Macaca mulatta: one gene and its partner. The protein of the gene in region 1 purifies or fractionates together with the protein of each later gene. This does not show direct contact. Links are inferred from orthologs where the notes say so. Each region holds a gene or a part of one and is shown in the gene's direction. Other genes may lie near its edges. The genes, in order: TSC22D4 and NRBP2.

Region 1 (10,005 bases):
CTGCCCAGCCGGGCGGTGCTGGGTTCGGTCTCCCGGGCCCCGGCGGAGCGGCGTGCAGCGGCGCCCCCCAGCGGCAGCCTGGGGCCCGCGCCCCCGCCCCCGCCCCCGCCCCGTGCACCCCGTGCACCCCGTGCGCCCGGCGCGCCCCGGGTCCGCACCCAGCATCGGGCCGGGGCCGAGGCTGCGGCTGCGGGGCCCGGGGTGCAGTGAGGCGCCGAGGCCGCCAGGGGGTGCCGCTTTCCGGGCCGAGGGGCTCCGAGGGAACTGGACGGGAGGCGGCTCAGCCCAGCAGGGGGCGTGCTCAGGCGGCCGCGCCCCCTTTCCCCGCCGCCCCCCCTTTCCCCGCCACCCCCAGGTGCCAGGAGAGCACCCGAGTTGGCTCGCGGGGGAATCGGCCGCCTCCCCCTGCAGCCTCCCGGGGGTGCTCGGATCTCCTTCCATCGTCTGGGCTCAAAGCCGTCCGCCCCCGTGGTCCGAGCCCTCCTCTCATGACCTTTGACTCCCCCAGCGCCGCTCGCAACGACCAGGGTCGACCTCTGAGTGTGGCCACCACCCTGGCACTGTCAGGGGGCCGCTGCGGGACGTGACCTCGACCTCCCCGCCCATCGCTTTTCTCATCATCTCCCCTAGAAACAACTTTCTCTGAAATTCCTTGGGCGCACAGCTCTGTAGCGGGGGTAAATCAGCTCGAGAAGACCTCAGTTGTACCTTCCACGGGCTGGAAAATGGGCATGGCAAAGATAGGCATGGCCTAATCCCTGGCCTGCGAATGCTACTTCCCATGGCAGCGTCTTTGCAGACTTGCTGTGTGGCTTTAGGCAGATCGTGCAACCTCTCTGAGAGATGCTTTAGTCCAGGGATGTACACTCTTTTGACTTCTCTGGACCACATTGGAAGAATAATTTGTCTTGGGCCACACATAAAATACTCTTAACACTGGCTGGGCGCGGTGGCTCACGCCTGTAATCCCAGCACTTTGTGAGGCCGAGGCTGGTGGATCACCTGACATCAGAAGTTTGAGACCAGCCTGGCCAACGTGGCAAAACCCTGTGTCTACTAAAAATAGAAAACATAAGCTTGGCATGGTGGCGTGCGCCTGTAATCCTAGCTACTCGGGAGGCCAAGGCAGGAGAATCGCTTGACCTGGGAGGTGAAGGTTGCAGCGAGCTGAGATCAGACCACTGCACTCCAGTCTAGGGGACAGAGTGAGACTCTTGCCTCAGAAAAAAACAAAAAAACAAAAAACCCAAACTCCTAATGTTTTAAGAAAGTTTACAAATTTGTCCTGGGCCACAAGCTGCCGGTGCAGTTGGACAAGCTGGCTTTAGTCCATTCTTTGTTGGCAGAGGAGGGGTAGTAAAATAATACCAAAGTGCCTTGTAAATTGTAAAGGGTCCTACATATTAAAGGCTATTAAGAATGCTCCCAGGGGAGGGAGATACTAAAACACTTAAAACCCATTTCACATTTATACCTTTAGTATGATTAGTTTATACGTATAGGTCGGGAGCGGTGGCTCACGACTGTAATGCCAGCACTTCGGGAGGCTGAGGCGTGCAGATCACTTGAGGTCAGGAGTTCGAGACCAGCCTGGCCAACATGATGAGACCCCCCCATCTCTACTAAAAATACAAAAATTAGCTGGGCGTGGTGGCGGGTGCCTACAATCTTAGCTACTCGGGAGGCTGAGGCAGGAGGATTGCAACCTGGGAGGCGGAGGTTGCAGTGAGATGAGATCATGGCACTGCACTCCAGCTTGGGTGACAGAGCGAGACTTCATCTCAAATTAAATTAAATTAAATTAAGACATAAAAATTTGTATGTATTCACTCAACAAACATTTCTGCAGAGGTCAGCAATGTGCCAGGGCCTCTAGACTCAGATACCAGTGCCTGAGGCAGAGAAAGGGATTGCCCAAAGATAATTTTTTTTTTTTTTTTTTTTGAGACGGAGTCTCGCTCTGTCGCCCAGGATGGAGTGCAGTGGCTGGATCTCAGCTCACTGCAAGCTCCGCCTCCCGGGTTCACGCCATTCTCCTGCCTCAGCCTCCCGAGTAGCTGGGACTGCAGGCGCCCGCCACCTCGCCCGGCTAGTTTTTTGTATTTTTTTAGTAGAGACGGGGTTTCACCGTGTTAGCCAGGATGGTCTTGATCTCCTGACCTCGTGATCCGCCCGTCTCGGCCTCCCAAAGTGCTGGGATTACAGGCTTGAGCCACCAGGCCGGCCCCAAAGATAATTTTTGGATAGTTTGTAGCAAGTCAGCAAGAAGGAAGGAGGGCCTGGGGACGGAGGGACCAAGGCCATGTTCTGAGTGTTGCTAGAGGAGAAGAGGTTCTGTGAGGGACAGAGGGATGCAGTCTGGAGGGGTAGGGAGCAGGTGGGAGGCTGCTTCCCAGACATCACTACTTGGGAGGCTCACAGACCTGGGCTATGGCAGTCATTGTTACTATGGCTTAAGGGAGAGAAACAGGAGTGTGGATGTTTCTAACAAAGAGATAAAGAACAAATACATAACGAGGGTAGGTATTCCATTGTTTTATTTTTACCTAACCCTAAAGAGGGGTTAGAAATTTCCCTGAGGCCAGGCACCATGGCTCACGCCTGTAATGTCAGTTTTTTGGAAGGCCCAGGTGGGAGTATCATTTGAGGCCAGCCTGGGCAACATAGTAAGACCCTGTCTCTATGAAAACTAAAAAATTAGCCAGGTGTGGTGGAGTACACCTGTGGTCCCAGCTACTAGGGAGGCAGAAGCAGGAGGATCACTTGAGGCCAGGAGTTCAAGACGACCCTGGGCAACATTGCAAGACCCCCATCTCTACCAAAAAAAATTTTTTTTTAAAGAAATTTAGCCAGGCGTAGTAGTGTGTGTCTGTAGTCCCAGCTACTTGGTAGGCTGAGGCGGGAGGACCAACTGAAGCCAGGAGTTTGAGACCATACTGGGCAACATGGTGAGAGCTCCCATCTCTACAAAAATTTAAAAATTAGCTGGGTGTGGTGGCGTGCATCTAAAGTCCTAGCTACTTGGGAGGCTGAGGCAGGAGCATGGCTTGAGCCTAGGAGTTCCAGGCTGTGGTGAGCTATGATCACACCACTGCACTCCATCCTGGGCAATAGAAGAGAGAGAGCGAGAGAGAGAGAGCACCTGTCTCTAAAAAAAATGTGGGGGAGTGGTTGGGGCAAAGGGAAATAGTATAACATCCAGGATTTGGTTTCAAATAGTCCAGCAAAATACAGCTGGCTCCCACATGTCATTTCATTGAATGTCATTTCATTATAACGTTGATGATTTTTTAAAAATTAATTTTGGGTTGGGACCACCATCCGTGTGGAGTTTGCATGGTCTCCCCATGTCTGCATGGCACGTTTGAAAATTTTCATAATAATCCACTTTTTTTTTTTTTTTTTTTTTTTTTGGTGAGACATGGTCTCATTCTGTTGCCCAGGCTGGAGTGCAGTGGCACAATGTAGGCTCACTGCATCCTCAACCTCCTGGGCTCAAGAGATTCTCCTGCCTCACAGCCTCCTGAGTAGCTGGGACTACAGGTCTACATCACCACACTCAGCTTTTTTTTTTTTTTTTTTTTAAGACGGTCTCGCTCTAATCGCCAGGCTGGAGTGCAGTGGCACGATCTCTACTCACCGCAACCTCCGCCTCCCGGGTTCAAGTGATTCTCCTGCCCCCTGAGTAGCTGGGACTACAGGCGCATGCCACCACACCTGGCTAATTTTTATATTTTTAGTAGAGATGGGGTTTCACCATGTTGGCCAGGATGGTCTCAATCTCTTGACCTCGTGATCCGCCCGCCTCGGCCTCCCAAAGTGCTATTTTTTAATTTTTTGTAGAGATGGGGATCTCGCTATATTGCCCAGGCTGGTCACAAACTCCTGGGCTCAAGGGATCCTCCCACCTCAGCCTTTGAGTAGCTGGAATTATAGGTGCACATCACCATGCCCAGCCAATTTTTTTTGTTTGTTTTGTAGAGACGAGGTCTTGCTATTATATTGTCCAAACTGGTCTCAAGCAATCCTCCTTCCTTGACCTCCCAAAGTGTGGGGATTACAGGCATGAGCCACCACCGGGGTCCGGCAATAATCCACTTTTAAAAATAAGGAATGGGGGGAATAATAGTACCTTCCTCATGCAGTTGCTGTGAAAACCAAAGGAGAATGACAGCCACAGCCGCCCCGCAGCAGGGACTGGGCACTTCTGGGTGGGCATCCAGCACACCTCCCGGCCTGTGCCTTCCGTTTCTTCTGTGTGTCTCTAGGCCAATGGCAGCAACTGACTACAAGTAAGGGAATCCCTCGCCTCCCTGCAAGCTCCTCCCCTTTCTCCCCGAGCCCCGCCCTCTGCAGCCCCTGCCTGCAAGAGTGGGGCTGGGCCCGGCAGGTGTGGGGTTAAGAGAGTCTGTTTGGGGCCCCCAGGAGCAGCAGCCTAAGCAGTGGCTGCAGCAACTGCAACAGCAGCGGCTGTGGCAGGCCTGGCCCCGGGCCAGCTGGCGGGAAGCCCCAGGAGGGAGGGAGGGAGGAGGAAGGGGAGGAGGAGGGGAAGGAGGAGGAGGAGGAGGAGGAGAGGAGCAGTCAGCAGGCCCGAGGAGGCAGGACTTCCTGGTGTGGGGGTTGTCAACAGCTCAGAAGGAGAAAGACGGAGAGGCAGAGACCCAGGGGAGCGGAGGAGCGGAGACACGGACCCAGCGGGGCCACGCGGGAGGAGACTCGAGACACCCACTCGCTGGCTGCCACCGGGAGCAGCGGGGGGCTCGGCCGCCCTCTCCCACATCAGTCTCCAGACCCCTGGGGCTTCAGCGGCCGCTCCTGGGCTCCTCGGAGGAGCCGCGGGTTCCTTCTTTTCCGGAGAGCAAACTTTCCTCGGAGATGCCTCCCAGGATGAGCTGAGGCCCCCGGAGAGGACGGGGCAACCTCTGATCGCCGCCTGCGTGCCCCGCCACTCCCCCTGGCCAGAAGGCCCCAGGGAACGCACAGCCCGACCTCTTAGGCGCCGGGACCCTCAGGCTCAGATCAGTGGCTGAGGCCCCAGAGGTAGGATTCGGGGCTGGGTGGGGCGCTGGGGGTAGCCGGGCAGGGCCTGCCCCAGGGATGTGGGAGCTGGGGTGGGCTCGAGGCCCAGGAGAGGTCTCTCTGAGTGGCCGGGCCAGGCTGGGGAGCTGCTTCACCCCGGTTCTCCCAGGCCCTGGAGTCCAAGCTCTTGGGACAATACCCGCCCCCTGAGTCAGAATCTCAGATGAGAAATGCACAACTCTGGAACTCATCTGCCTCTTCCTACTCTGAGCGCCTTTTTGGATCTGGTCCCCTCTGCCCTGGTCTCTGTCATCTCTTGCCTGTCTCCGGGTCTCTGACGGTTTCCCCTTCCCCCACTCTGCTCCCCGGAGAGGAAGCCCCGGAGGTGGCCTGCCCACTGGTTTCACACACACACACAGACACACACACACACTCTCTCTCTCCCTCTTTTTCCAGTTTGCAAACTCAGCTCTGGAGTTCAGCAGCAACAGCAGCAGGAAAAACCTGCCCGTGCTCCCCCCTCCCGCCACCTCCCCTCTCCTCTTCTCCCCTCACCCAGCAGGCACCCCGGGTTCCCACCAGGCCCTCCTGCCATGTCGGACCCAGACGTCCCCAGGGGCCCGGATGCCCCCACCATGTGGCCCCCTTGTTCCAGGGGTGCCTGAGCCCCTTCAAGGAGTCCCAACCCACCCCCAACCTTGGCCCAGCCCTGAGCCCCAGGGACCATGAGCGGGGGCAAGAAGAAGAGTAGTTTCCAAATCACCAGCGTCACCACAGACTATGAGGGCCCGGGGAGCCCAGGGACTTCAGATCCGCCTACTCCACAGCCCCCCACCGGGCCCCTGCCCCGCCTGCCCAGTGGGGAGCCCAGCCCTGATCCGGGGGGCAAGGGCACCCCCCGGAATGGCTCCCCACCACCTGGGGCCCCCTCCTCCCGTTTCCGGGTGGTGAAGCTGCCCCACGGCCTGGGAGAGCCATATCGCCGTGGTCGCTGGACGTGTGTGGATGTTTATGAGCGAGACCTGGAGCCCCACAGCTTCGGCCGACTCCTGGAGGGAATTCGAGGGGCCTCAGGGGGCGCCGGGGGCAGATCTTTGGATTCCAGGTTGGAGCTGGCCAGCCTCGGCCTGGGCACCCCCACCCCACAGTCAGGCCTGTCTCAGGGCCCCACCTCCTGGCTCCGTCCACCCCCCACCTCTCCCGGACCTCAGGCCCGCTCCTTCACTGGGGGACTGGGCCAGCTGGTGGTGCCCGGCAAAGCCAAGGCAGAGACACCCCCACTGTCGGCCTCCCCACCCCAGCAGCGCCCCCCAGAGCCTGGGACCGGTGAGAGTGCGGGCACATCCCGGGCTGCCACGCCCCTGCCCTCTCTGAGGGTGGACGCGGAGGCTGGGGGCTCAGGGACCAGGACCCCTCCACTGTCCCGGAGGAAAGCTGTAGACATGCGGCTGCGGATGGAGTTGGGTGCTCCAGAGGAGATGGGGCAGGTAAGACCTGGGTTCTAGGGCTCGCCCATCAGCCCTGGCCTAACCTCTATCTTGGGACTCCCTCCTCCCACCCCTTCTCCTCCCCTTCCTTCTCCCCCTCCTCCTTCCCGTCCCTTCCCCTCCCCTCCCCCTCCCCCTCCTCCTCCATTACTTGTCTATCAGATCAGACAGCCCTCTTCTCTGTGCCTGCCAGGTCACTCTGAAGCCCCTTCCTCCTCCTTCATTTTCTGTCTCAGCCTCCTTCCTGTTTTTCTGCACCCTCTCTCTTTCTCCCTGGCCTCTGATTCTCTGTCTTGGTCTTCATGTAGCCTATAGCATATGTGGCCCCCTCACCAGGCCTTCTTCTGTCTTGGTCTCAGCCCCTCTGCCTCTAGGTGATGAGGGTGGAGGCCTCAGCTGGGTAGCTGGGTCCCTGGGGGAGGAGCTGCCAGGATTTGGGGAGGAAAGGTAAAAGGTAGGCTTTGCGCGCTGCTAGTCTCTGCACTGCAGCCCCATCCTGAATGTAGGGGTCTTTCTTTTCCCCCAGCCACCCATCTCAGTCCTACCTCCAGCTTTGCTGTAGGCCAAGTGTCACTGAGAAATTGGGTGGGGGGAACACCTCTCAGGGATGGGGAGGGGGCTTGCTGGTTGATCCTTTTCACCCCCCAGTTGTCTGTCTCAACTCCCTCCATCTGAGCCTCTCTGTGATTGATAACTCCAGGGTGACCACCATGGAGTGGGGGAGAAAAGCCCCAGAAGGAGTTCAGTCCCATACTCTTTCTCCTTCCTGTCTCCAAAAGAGGAACAAGTCCGGGCTGGGGGGGCAGCATGCCTGGGTCCCCGTGGTGGGGGTGAGCAGCCAGAGACAAAAGGGTGGGATACTTCTGTCCTGCGGGGAGAATATAACACCTCGGAGGGCTGGGGAAAGGCAGGGGGTGTGAGGATGCGAACTCTTTCCCCTTCCTGGCCTTGGGCACAAACCACAGTATAAAAATAACCTGGGACTGGATGTCTGGGTCCTGTCAGGACCGGTCAGGACTGGCTCCCCCCAACCCCCTCCTGGCCTCAAGCTCACGTCTCTCGTGACGCCCCTTCCTACCACTCCCCACCCCCTCCCCGCCCAACTCTTCTTGAACTCCTGCATTCAGCACCCACCCCAGGGGAGAAGATGCTGTTTCTCTTCCTGTCCTGTCCCCAGACTCTTCCAAAGCAAACCCCCTTGGCCTCCAGCTTCCCTGCTCTCTGTCCTTAAGCCTGGCCTGAGCTTCTCTTGGGGCCACAGACCCTGCCTGTCTCTCTCCAGTGCCCCCTGCTCCCCAGCTTTCCCCCACCTCCTGACGGTCTGCTGTTTGCACGTAACTGTTTTGCTATTTCCCTGCCCAAAAGTCTGTCTCCCTTCCACATCCCCTCATGCCTCTTCTCCCTCTTAACAGAAGGGAGTGGTGGAGAATGGCCAGGGGACACCACCTGGGCCCCCTTCCTCTGCTCTGTCCCTCTAACCACCCTGGACTCTCTGTTCTTGGCTTTTCTGAGAAGCTGGGGCCTCCCGGGGCCTCACAGAGGCGTCTTGTCATGTTCCTGTCGCCCCCGCCCTTTTTGCTGCCGCCCCCAGCGCCTGTTGGGCTATGCAGGTCCACGCCCAGGCTCCGCCTCCCCCCAGCTCCACAACCAGCCCCCGCCAACCCCAGGGCTGAGCGCAGGAGCAGAATTCCACCTGAGTCCGAGAAGTTTGAGAGGGGAGGCGAGAGTGAGGGGTGGGTGAGGGGATGGAGGAGCAGTTTCTGAGGATCCATTCATTCTACAAATAGCTACTGAGCAAACTGACCTTCTAGCCGGGGAGAGACACAATAAATACTTTAATTTCAGATAATGTTAGGTGCTATAAAAAAAATGAAACAGTTCAGTGGACCAGTGAATGATGGGGAAATACCTCTCTAAGAGGTGACATTGGAGTCATTTTAAGAAGGCAGCCTGGGTGCAGTGGCTCACACCTATAATCCCAGCACTTTGGGAGGCTGAGGTGGGAGGATCACTTGAGGTCAGGAGTTCAAGACCAGCCTGGCCAACATGGTGAAACCCTGTTGTCTCTACTGAAAATAGAAAAATTTGCCAGGTGTGATGGCGGGCGCCAGTAGTCCTGGCTACTCAGGAGACCGAGGCAGGAGAATCACTGTAACCCGGAAGGCAGAGGTTGCAGTGAGCCAAGATCACATCACTGCACTCCAGCATGGGTGACAGAGCGAGACTCCAGCAAAGGCACAGGCTGGGAGCGGTGGCTTATTCTCCCAGCACTTTGGGAGGCTGAGGCAGGAGGATCACTTGAGCCCAGGAGTTTGAGACCAGCAGGGACAACATACTGAGACCCTGTGTTAACAAAAAATAAAAAATTAGCCAGTTACGGTGGTGCGCGCCGTAACTGTCCAGCTACTCGGGTGGCTGAGGCTGGAGGATCACTTAAGCCTGGGAATTCGAGGCTGCAGTGAGCCATGATTGTGCTACTGCACTCCACCCTAGCTGACAGAGTGACTGTCTCAAAAAAATAAAATAAAATATAAAAGAAGGCAGACACTCTGAGTAGCCTCTGTTTAGGGTCCCGGCCCAGGGGGAGCAGGGACTTTGGAGTCTATTCTCGGTTCTTCCATCAGTCCCCCGCTCCTCCCACTTGGGAGACCCTCTGTAATGTCCCATACACCACTCCTCCCATTCCTCAGGTTTACCCATTTCTTGCTTCTAGTACCTGCCTAATGCCTTCTCCAGAGCTGGAGAAGGGAAGGGCTGCGGGGACAGGACTCCCGGGTCCTCCAAAGGGAGTAGAGAGGTGGAGAGGGAGGAAGGCTAATAGGCAAGTTATAAGGCGGCTAATTCCTTTCTCTTCTCTTTTCACGTGATGGTTCCTACCTCTCCGCCTCCAGGTGCCCCCACTCGACTCTCGCCCCAGCTCCCCGGCCCTCTACTTCGCCCACGATGCCAGCCTGGTTCACAAATCTCCAGACCCCTTCGGAGCAGTAGCAGCTCAGAAATTCAGCCTGGCCCACTCCATGTTGGCCATCAGTGGTCACCTAGACAGCGATGATGATAGGTAGGTGGGCTTCGTGGGGTGGTGGGGCGTGGGGTTCAGGTTCCCTGCCCAGCACCTGGGATGGCTGTGAGAAACTGCCCGGTAGGCATCCTTCCCTCAGGTTGAACTTGGAGAGGAACTCTTAGACAGAGAAACCTGGCCTGGGCATATAACCACTGCACACAGATGATTTCGGACCCACTCCCTCTCTGTGGAGAGGGCTGGGTGGGACTCCCTGGCTCAGAACTGTCAGGTCACAGACTTTTTTAGATTCTGAAGGGACTCATTGTTGTCAGATTCCAGAGCTCTTGCAGATTTAGAGATCATCTGGCCAACCCCAGGAACCCACTGGCAAATGCGTGCTCTAGACAGAATAGCAAATCAGGCCGGGGCACAGTGGCTCCCACCTGTACTCGTGGTGCTTTGGGAGGCCCGGGCAGGAGAATTGCTTGAGGCCAGGAG
Region 2 (10,172 bases), on another chromosome or scaffold:
ATCCTCGAATTAGTTTCAAAAACCACATGAAAACTACTGTCCTTGCATTTTATCTCAGTGCTCTACAATTATCCTAACCTATGTGCAAGAGTGGGTAAAGACCCCTTAAACAAAAAAGGAGTGAGTGATGTGGGTTGTTTTGTGGTCTCACTGTTACGCAAATAGTCCTTTAAGGCAATTTGGTGCATGTGCTAATCCCGCCAGTGAGAGCCGTTGACACCGAGAAGAGCTCACCATAGGTGTCAATTATCTTCAACTTGGACTTTGCCTTATCTGTATGCTGAATAGATGCCTCTGTTCCTCAGGATTGAGTTATTACTAGATATATTGCTATCCTCCTGAAATATTTTTGGAAATAATTATTCCTAATCAGTGCTTCACATACACACATGTGCGCACATACCAGCTTCCAAGCTGGTTGTTGGCCACCACAGGCCTTCGTGGCTGCTCTCTGGAGACGGCTGTTTCTGGCCGTGTGTACACTTCACAGCCTTGCTCGGAGTGAGCTGGGAAGCCAGCAAGCCACTGTCTCCACCGCCCAATCTGGGAGGCACCAGCCCAGTGCCTCTGCACCTCTGCTGTGTTCTCGCCCCGGAAGCAAGTCACCCAGTCCAGTCCACACTCCTGGCATGGGACTGCACATGATGTGGGAGACCAGGAGGCAGGGTGACCAGGACAGACAGTGGGAGGGCTCCTCTGGTGCTCCTCTGACCCCCCAGAGTTGGGACCCCCTGGCTTTCTCCCACCCTAGGATTCCTGGCATCCAGGACAGCAGTCCTGAGCCCCGCAAGCCAAGGGATCGTCCACCTGCCGATGGGAAAGAAATCTGCAGGAATTCTGAGAACAGCTCACCTGCATGCCTCACAGGAGGGAGACGCTTAGGAAGACTCTAAGGCGACAGACATGGAGCCCCAGTAGATGTGCAAGGCGGAAGTGGAGGAGGCAGTGAGCAGCGAACCTGCAGTTGGCACCACAAGGCATTGCACAGGGGCCAGGCGCAGCGGCTCACACCTGCACTCCCAGCTGCTCAGGAGGCTGAGGCAGGAGGATCCCTGGAGCCCAGAAGTTCAAGACGAGCCTGGGCAATATAGCAAGACTGGCTCTATAAAAAGTTAAAAAAAAAATAGCTGGGCTCTGTGGCATGTGCCTATAGTCCCAGTTATTCAGGAGGCTGAGGTGGGAGGATCCCTTGAGCCCAGGAATTTGAGGCTGCAGTGAGCTGTGATTGCACCACTGCACTCCAGGGTAACAGAGTGAGAATCCATCTCTAAAAAAATAAATTTTAAGAAGCCAATTCACAGATTAGGCTAAGAGGGCGGGTGAATGGCTCAGTGGCCAAGAGCAGCCCTAGAGAACTTCCGATAAATCCAAATGGCCTGGCAGGATCAAGGGGTGGAGAAGCTCATAGGCAGAGCAGAAGGGAGGGTGGGCACCCACCCTGGGGCATAGCCAGATTGAGGCCAGGGAGGGCATGCTGCAGCAGCCACTGCCTCTGTGCGTGGGCGGGCAGCAGTCCGACCCACTCTGTGGAGTCGGAATAAGTGCTGGGAAGCATCCCTGCACGCGAACACGTAGCGGTTGTCACGTCACTTTTCTTACCATGCGGGTTGTGCCCGGTGCATGTGCTATTCCCCTCGGGCTGCCAGAGCAGCACCAGAGATGCAGGAGTGGCTTAAAACAGCACAAACAGATTCGCTCACTGTGCTGGAGGCTGGAAGTGCAAAATTGAGGTATCAGCAAGGCTGATTGCTTCTGGGGCTGGGGTGGGAGAATCCATCCCAGGTCTCTCTCCTCACCACTCATGGCCCTGGCAGTCCCAGGCACGCCTTGGCCTGTGGGCACATCCCTCCAATAGTGGCCTCCATGTTCACTTGACGGTCTACCTTATTTCTCTGCACCCCAAGTATCCTTCTTTCTCTGATAAGGACATTTAGGGCCCACTCCAACATCTCAAGATCCTAAACTTATTTACATTTGCAAAAATCTTTTTTATTCTTTTTTTTTTTTTTTTTTTTTTTTTTTTGAGAAGGAGTCTCACTTTGTCTCCCAGGCTGGAGTGCAGTGGCGCGATCTCGGCTCACTGCAAGCTCCGCCTCCCAGGTTCATGCCATTCTCCTGCCTCAGCCTCCCAGTAGCTGGGACTACAGGCGCCCACCACCATGCCCAGCTAATTTTTTGTATTTTTAGTAGAGACGGGGTTTCACCATGTTAGCCAGGATGGTCTCGATCTCCTGACCTCGTGATCCGCCCGCCTCGGTCTCCCAAAGTGCTGGGATTATAGGCGTGAGCCATTTTTTTTTTTTCAAATAAGGCTGTGCTCCTAGGTACTGGGGATCAGGATGTAGACTTTTGGGGGATTCTATATGACCTACCACAGAACATGTGTGTCTGGTTATGGGGGTGGAGAAAGGGGAGGAAATTCATTGAGATTCTTCTGCTCAAGCCTTACCTCTTCAGGGGCTTCTCTGGACCACACCCCCCAAAACGCACCCCTGCCCACCCAGAGATCCATTCAACAAGTGTTTGCTGAGGGCCTGCTGCGTGCCAGGTACTGTCCTCACACCAGAGAAAGAGCAGGGACAAAGAGAAGACACTCCTGCCCTGTGGGAGCTCGAATAGCAACAGGGACACAGACAGTGAAGAAGAGAGATGAGAAAAACCCAGATGCAAGTCAGGTGGGGTGAATGCCCCAGGAAAAGTCAAGTCAAGCAGGGGAAAGGGGATGGGGACTGTGATGTCAGGATTCGTGGCCAGGGCAGGCCTCTCAGGAAGTGACCTCAGAGGATGTTTGGGAAGGGCATTCCGGGCAAAGGTATAACCAGGGCAGAGACCCTGAGGGGAAGTGCCTGTCATGTCCAACGGCACAGGGCCATGTACTTGTGGTGGGCTCGGCTGAAGAGGGCAGGGGACATGAGGTAGGGTAATGGGACCAATTACTGGGCCTTCCTGTTTAGGCCCTCGTGCCAAGTGAGAAGGGACCACTGGGGGCTCCCCAAAACCACCCTCAGGTTCAATGGTTCACTGTAAGGACTCACAGAACTCAGAAAGGGTACCATTTATTACAGCAATGGATGCGTTAAAATCAGCAGTGGCAAGGACTCACGGAACAGAACCCAAGAGAGACCAGCACAGGTCTGCAGGTGTCCGCACCCACTGCAGGCATGCGGACAGTGCTCAATCTCCCAGCACGGATGAGCACAGCATGCCACCAGCCAGGGAAGCCCTCTGTACCGCGGTGTCCAGGGTTTTTATTGGGTTGGTCACACAGGTATGGCTGACCTCCCAAGTCGCAGACTTTGGCCTCCAGCCCCTGCAGAGGTCAGGCTGATGCCACATGGCCCAAAGTCCCCCCGTAGACCACGTTGTTAGCACAGACTAGGGGTGTCCAATCTTTGGACCTTCCTGGCACACATTGGAAGAATTGTCCTGGGCAACACACTTAAATAAAATACACTTAACACTAACAACAGCTGATGAGCTTTAAAAAAAAATCTCAACAAGAAAGTTTACAAATTTGTGTTGGGGCCGGGCGCGGTGGCTCAAGCCTGTAATCCCAGCACTTTGGGAGGCCGAGACGGGTGGATCACGAGGTCAGGAGATCGAGACCATCCTGGCTAACACGGTGAAACCCCATCTCTACTAAAAATATACAAAAAACTAGCCGGGCGAGGTGGCGGGCGCCTGTAGTCCCAGCTACTCAGGAGGCTGAGGCAGGAGAATGGCGTAAACCCGGGAGGTGGAGCTTGCAGTGAGCTGAGATCCGGCCACTGCACCCCAGCCTGGGCGACAGAGCAAGACTCCGTCTCAAAAAAAAAAAAAAAAAAAATTGTGTTGGGCCGAATGCACCCTCTGGGCTGCGGATTGGACAAGCTTAGCATAGACTATGGTGTGGCCTAGGTAAACACAGACATTCAAATCAGGCGGAACATTCCAAAGGCTTAGAGGGTGTCTCTCAGGAGCTGGTCAGGGCCAGTTTCAGGGTGGAGAATTTGAACACCCCAAACCTTTACTGCAGAAGGCCTCAGCAGGATCATCTGGCCTTGGTGGAAGCCACACTCAGGGGACCTGGTGACCAAGGCTGGTCAGGAAAGAGCGACCACAGGGGACGCAGCAGGGCCAGATGCAAATCTGCCAAAGAAAGAAAGAGGCGTCCCAAAGGGACAGCACACGGAGGCGCGCGGAAGGGAGGAGCGGAGTTCCAATTTGGGCTCCAGAGAGAGAAGGTAAAGGATGAGGACCCGCCCTGAGAGAGGGAGAAGGCCACGGGAAGGCTGTGGCAGCTGCGGGCTGAAGGGGGTTTTAGGTGAGAATCGGGGACAGCCCCGGTGGTCAGCGTGGCTGGAGGGTGTGCTCAGAGCGGCCTCCGGAGGGAGCGGCCTTGTGAGCCAGGTGGGCTCCCCCATCATGGTTCCACTGTCCCGAGCCAACCGCGGAAAGGAGGGGCGCGTTTGAGGAGAAAAGAGAAAATCGCCATCCTGGAAGGTGAGAAGATGGGTTTGTGGGCGGGAGGAGGCACCGGCGGGCGGGCCACGGAGAGATTTGTGGCCCCCAATGAAAGTCAGCCTGGGTCAGCCTGCTGGTGGGCCTTTCCCCCCGCCCTCGGTGTCCCACCCACCTGTCCCAAGGGGGTCGGCCGGGGAATGAGTGCGTGGCCGGGAGAGCGGGGCCCCGCTTTCGAGCCCGCGGGGACTCCTGCAGCTGGAGGGTGTCGTGGGCTTGGGGGACCCCAGATGCCCCGGGTCTTCCCCCAGATCCTAGGAGAGCAACCGCGAGAGAAGTGGGCTGCTCCAGGCTCCGGGTGGCCGCGGGGCGGGGCCTCCACGGGGGCGGGGATTTGGGGGCGGTTCCCCTGCGCGGGGCGGGACTTCGAGGAGGCGAGGCGGGGCCTGGGGCGGGGCCTCGCGAAGGACCTTGGGAATGGGCGGGGGCGGGGACCAAAACGGGGCGGGGCTTCGCGGAGGTGGGGCGGGGCTTCGCGGAGGAGGCTTGGGGGACGAGGAGGGGACAGGGCCTGGGGCGGGGCTTCGCGGGGCGGGGCCTCCGAAGGGGCGGGGCCTGGGCGCGGCCGGGGTTCGGCAGCTGGCTGGGAAGCGGTGCTCTGGCTCGGGCTGGCACACGCGGCTCGGGAGCGGCGCGCCGGCTCCGCCTCCGGCCCCCATCTGCCCGCCGCGCGCCCGCCCCTCCCAATTCCCAGAGCCGGGGCTGGGGCTTGCGGCGGCGGCGGCGGCGGCGGATCTAGGCTGGGCTGCTGGGCGCGGGGCCAGGGCGGGCCGGGAGAGGCTGCTCCGGCGGTGGATCGCGCGGAGGGCGGTGGCCTGGGCCGGCCGAACCATGGCGGCCCCTGAACCGGCGCCGAGGCTGGCCCGGGAGCGGGAGCGGGAGGACGAGAGCGAGGACGAGAGCGACATCCTGGAGGAGAGCCCGTGTGGTCGCTGGCAAAAGCGGCGGGAGGAGGTGGGCGCGGGGGTCGCGGGCACTGGGGTGACACCGCCCTCCCAGAGCCGGAGGGGCCTGGAGGCTGCGCGGGGCGTGGGGGCGCTGGGAGAGCGCGGCGCGCGGCGCCTGGAAACCTCTCCACGGTCCCTCGCGGCCAGCGAATCAGCCACCCCTGGACCCCTTTGGCCTGGCGCCCGTCCTGGGATTCCCTGAGGGCCAGTCTCCTCCTAGGACCACCTCCCCATGCCTCTGGACTCAGCCGCTAGGTTCCTGGGGATCCCCCTCGACCCCTTGAAACCTGCTCCAAATCCCCTTAGCCCAGCCCTTGGATAGGAGCCCTTGGCTCCTAGGGGCAGCTACCCTCCAAGCCCCCACCTTCCCGCAGAGTGGCTCAGGTCCTACAGTCCACGCTTGGGCCCACTGGAAAGGTATAGACAGGGACCAAATCCTCACCCGCAACCTGACACACACCAGGGCACACATAACCCCTTATTCACTCCCCAGGTAAACCAGGGGAACATGCCAGGGCTTCAAAGCACCTTCCTAGCCATGGACACGGAGGAGGGGGTAGAGGTGGTGTGGAACGAGCTCCACTTCAGAGACAGAAAGGCCTTCGCGGCGCACGAGGTGAGGCCACTGCCCCCTCCTCATCCTGCCTGGGTGACCACCTGCTGACCACCTAGAGACCACCCTCCCTCCCCAGGAGAAGATCCAGACTGTGTTTGAGCAGCTGGTGCTGGTGGACCACCCCAACATCGTGAAGTTGCACAAGTATTGGCTGGATACCTCCGAGGCCTGCGCGAGGGTGATTATGGGCGAGGCCCCGGGCAGGCAGAGGCCACAGCCAGGTGGGGTGGGCATGGGGACGAACGCGCAGCTGGTGGAAATCCTGAGCTCGCACCCTGCAGGTCATCTTCATCACAGAGTACGTGTCATCAGGCAGCCTCAAGCAATTCCTCAAAAAAACCAAGAAGAACCACAAGGCCATGAACGCCCGGGTATGGGGAGCGGGCTGGGGCAGCCACGGGGACAGGACGGGGTTGGGGCAGCCTCGGGGACTGGGATGGTGAGGGGGTGCCCAGTGGCCTCGGACAGGGACTGGGCGAGGATGCGGGGCGGGCTCCGCAGGCCCAGCCGCCTCTCCTGCGCCCACCCGACGGAGTCGTGCGTCCGCCGCCAGGCCTGGAAGCGCTGGTGCACGCAGATCCTGTCCGCGCTCAGGTGAGGGCCTGGGCTGGCCCGGGCGCTGCGCTGCTGAGCCCCCGCCTCCTCAGAGCCTCCTGACCGGCTCCTCCTACTCTCCCCTCCCCAACGTCTGCAGCTTCCTGCACGCCTGCAGCCCCCCGATCATTCACGGGAACCTGACCAGCGACACCATCTTCATTCAGCACAATGGCCTCATCAAGATCGGCTCTGGTGCTGGCGGGACAGGGCTGGGCGGGGGACGGGGCAGGGGAAGGTGCCTGCAGCCAAGGGCAGAGGAGTTCTGATGCTCCAGCAGCTAACTCCGCTCTTTCTCCCGCCCCTTGGCAGTGTGGCACCGAATCTTCTCCAATGGTAAGTGCGGACTCTGGGGGATGGGGTCCTGGAGAGGTCCCGCCCGCTCAGCCTTTGCGCCCTCCACAGCGCTGCCGCATGATCTCCGAAGCCCCATCCGCGCTGAGCGAGAGGAACTTCGGAACCTGCACTTCTTCCCCCCAGAGTACGGCGGTGAGTGGCGCTGGGTCTTGGCGCCCCGTGCCTGCCCTGTGTGCTTCTCTCCTACCCGTCCTGTGTTCTCTCCTGTTCAGAGGTGGCCGATGGGACCGCTGTGGACATCTTCTCCTTTGGGATGTGTGCGCTGGAGGTACTGCCCCCGCCCTCCACCTTGTGCTCTGCCCTCCTCCTAGCTGTGCCCTGCCTGGCTCACCTGTGTGGTCCCTTCCCCATGCCTGACCTGGCTCTGTGCCCCAGATGGCTGTGCTGGAGATCCAGGCCAACGGGGACACCCGGGTCACAGAGGAGGCCATTGCTCGTGCCAGGCACTCACTGAGTGACCCCAACATGCGGGTAAGCAGCTTGCCCTGCCCCTCCCCAGCTGGCTCACTGTGCTCAGCTAGGCCAGCAAGGTGCTCCAGGCAGGCCTGGGAGAGCATCACAGTTTATGTAGCTGAGAGGTATATCAGCTGGCTGCACCCCCGCAAAGAGGACCTCAGTGGGAGCACATACTGGTTCCAGGCCTGAAGGCCCTAATGGGTCAGCACATTCTAAGGACAAGAAGGCAAGAGAGACCCTCCCTCTGTGGCTGCTATCACCATGCCCGTTTTATAGATAAAGAAACTGAGGCTCAGAGGAGATGAGTCCTTTGCCTGAGGCTTTAGAGTAAGTGGTGGAGCCAACATCTGCACCTGGGTCTGCTTCACTCCAAGTCCTTGACTTTAAGCTTCTAGGAGGTGATGAGGCTCCAGCTTGTGGGGGGACATGGTGGGTGCCAAGCAGGCAAAAAGAGGTATGGGATGGAAGCTGCATCCATAGCCCCCTCTGCTCGGAATCCAGACTTAACTCCATGGCCTCAGGAGATGGGGGTGCCTGGATGGGGCTGGTAGGGAGGTGGAGCCGGGCTGGGCACGGATGTGGATAGAGTGGGGAACCAGCAAGGTCATCTCCAGTGCTGGGCCTGAGCTGAGCCGATCAAATGACCATGGGTAGCTAGAGGCAGAGCTTGCAGTGAGCCGAGATCGTGCCACTGCACTCCAGCCTGGGCGACAGAGTGAGATTCCGTCTCAAAAAAAAAAAAAAAAAAAAGGACCACAGCTTGCAGGTGTGACTTAAAGATCATGGCTCCTACTCCCCATGATTTTTGGGAGGTTGAGGGAAGCAGAGCATGGTGCTCCAATCCCAGAACCCAGCTGTCCTCAAGCCCAGAGGGCCAGGTCCTGGCCTGGCTGCTGCCAGGACTCCTCCCTACGGGCATCCCTGCATGTCCTGTATGTCCCTGAGGAGGAGGGACGAGGAGAACTCAGGGACCACCTCTCCTCGAACTGTGGGGCCAGAGCAGAGAGCTCTGCACACCACCAGCCTCTCCTCCCCATGCCCCAGGAGTTCATCCTTTGCTGCCTGGCCCGGGACCCTGCCCGCCGGCCCTCTGCCCACAGCCTCCTCTTCCACCGCGTGCTCTTCGAGGTGCACTCGCTGAAGCTCCTAGCAGCCCACTGCTTTATCCAGCACCAGTGTGAGCAGCAGGCCAGCCCAGGGGGTGACCGGGGAGGCTGCGGCTGGGATGTGGAAGGGGCCCTGCAGGACCCACGGCCTTGATGCTCCTGTGGCTGCAGACCTCATGCCTGAGAACGTAGTGGAGGAGAAGACCAAGGCGGTGGACCTGCACGCAGTCTTGGCGGAGCTTCCCCGGCCCCGCAGGCCCCCGCTGCAGTGGCGGTGAGCAGTCAGCACCCAGAAACCTCCCCTCCCCGTGCCTCCCCTCCCTACGCCCCTGACCAGCCCCTCATGTGCCTCCCACCCCCATGCCAGGTACTCGGAAGTCTCCTTCATGGAGCTGGACAAATTCCTGGAGGATGTCAGGTAAGAACTGATGTAAGGTTGGGGGCCAGGCAGCTGTCAGGCCTGAGCCCCCAGCCACCCCGGTGTGTCTCCAGGAATGGGATCTACCCACTGATGAACTTTGCAGCCACTCGGCCCCTGGGGCTGCCCCGGGTGCTAGCCCCACCCCTGGAGGAGGTCCAAAAGGCCAAGACCCCGACGCCAGAGCCCTTTGACTCTGAGACTAGGAAGGTGAGTCCCCTCTTGCTGCTCAGTGCCATCCCTCAGACCTTCCAGCAGCCTGATAAGAGATTCCTTCTCCCAGGGCCTGCTCCCCACAGCCCAGCTCTCCTCCTGGCTGCCAGAGACCAGATCCAGGCTGACCCCCTTGTGGGGATTATGGGGGTTGTAGGACAGGCTGGACACTCTCCTTTTCCGGGAGGCTCCCTGTCCCCTCAGATCCTCCCCTGCATCCTGCTGCCTGCCCTGAACCTACTCCAAGCATCCTTCCTCCAGAACTCGCCCAGGCTCTTCCACCCCGCCAGTACTCTTCCCCCCACCCCCCACCCTCCCATCCCCCACCCTCCCATCCCCCACCTCGTGCTGATTCCCGGATATCTATGTCCTGGTGTCTCCCCAGACTTTTCCTGCAGCGCTGCCTCCTGGCCAGTGGCCTCTCTTGGTGCAGTGCAGCCAGAATTTATGTCCTAACAGGCAAACTGCCTGCTCCTGGCTGCCCGCAGAGATCATGGGAGTCCTCAGCTGATGCCCAGGCGCTGGGAGGCCTGGTCCTGCAGGCACCCTGCACTTCGGTGCAGTCGCATCCCACTCAACCTCCCTTTCCCCGTGCTCAAGATCCCTCTTTGTTTAAGTTGTTCTCTCAGCAGTGAAAGCTCCTATTCAGCCTTCAGTACCCAGCACCTAATGTCGACTCTTCTCGAAGCTTTCCTTAGCTCACTAGGCCACTAGCAGTGAGATGGGCTCCTCTTAGAGATTCCCCCCTTTCCAATCTCTGCTGTCCCTTCCTGGCCCCTCTGGGGCCGCGGCATGTGGTCTCGCTGCTGGGTCTGTGAGTCTCAGCCTTCCGCCGCTGCAGGTCATCCAGATGCAGTGCAACCTGGAGAGAAGCGAGGACAAGGCGCGCTGGCATGTGAGCGGGGCCTGGGAGGGCAGCGCTGCTGTGGGGAAGGCGGGAGCGTGGCAGACCCCCAAACCTCCAG

What was found.
Region 2: the proteins of TSC22D4 (region 1) and NRBP2 purify together in Homo sapiens (affinity purification with mass spectrometry; 3 studies listed by BioGRID and IntAct, counting the BioPlex papers as one, with this or other methods). This does not show direct contact. The link is inferred for Macaca mulatta from reciprocal best matches to the Homo sapiens genes TSC22D4 and NRBP2.

Annotation. Positions count from the first base shown.
Region 1 is NC_133408.1:47,674,851-47,684,855, reverse strand, and holds the start of TSC22D4 (TSC22 domain family protein 4), read left to right. Parts: upstream 1-4,619; 5' UTR 4,620-5,040; intron 5,041-5,475; exon of another isoform or gene 5,476-5,578; 5' UTR 5,579-5,744; coding exon 5,745-6,506; intron 6,507-9,397; coding exon 9,398-9,564; intron 9,565-10,005.
Region 2 is NC_133413.1:154,208,809-154,218,980, reverse strand, and holds the start of NRBP2 (nuclear receptor-binding protein 2), read left to right. Parts: upstream 1-5,077; 5' UTR 5,078-5,331; coding exon 5,332-5,454; intron 5,455-5,940; coding exon 5,941-6,063; intron 6,064-6,139; coding exon 6,140-6,241; intron 6,242-6,344; coding exon 6,345-6,434; intron 6,435-6,616; coding exon 6,617-6,657; intron 6,658-6,757; coding exon 6,758-6,852; intron 6,853-6,969; coding exon 6,970-7,146; intron 7,147-7,226; coding exon 7,227-7,282; intron 7,283-7,389; coding exon 7,390-7,485; intron 7,486-8,514; coding exon 8,515-8,647; intron 8,648-8,747; coding exon 8,748-8,850; intron 8,851-8,943; coding exon 8,944-8,994; intron 8,995-9,068; coding exon 9,069-9,204; intron 9,205-10,048; coding exon 10,049-10,172. UniProt on the Homo sapiens protein: May regulate apoptosis of neural progenitor cells during their differentiation.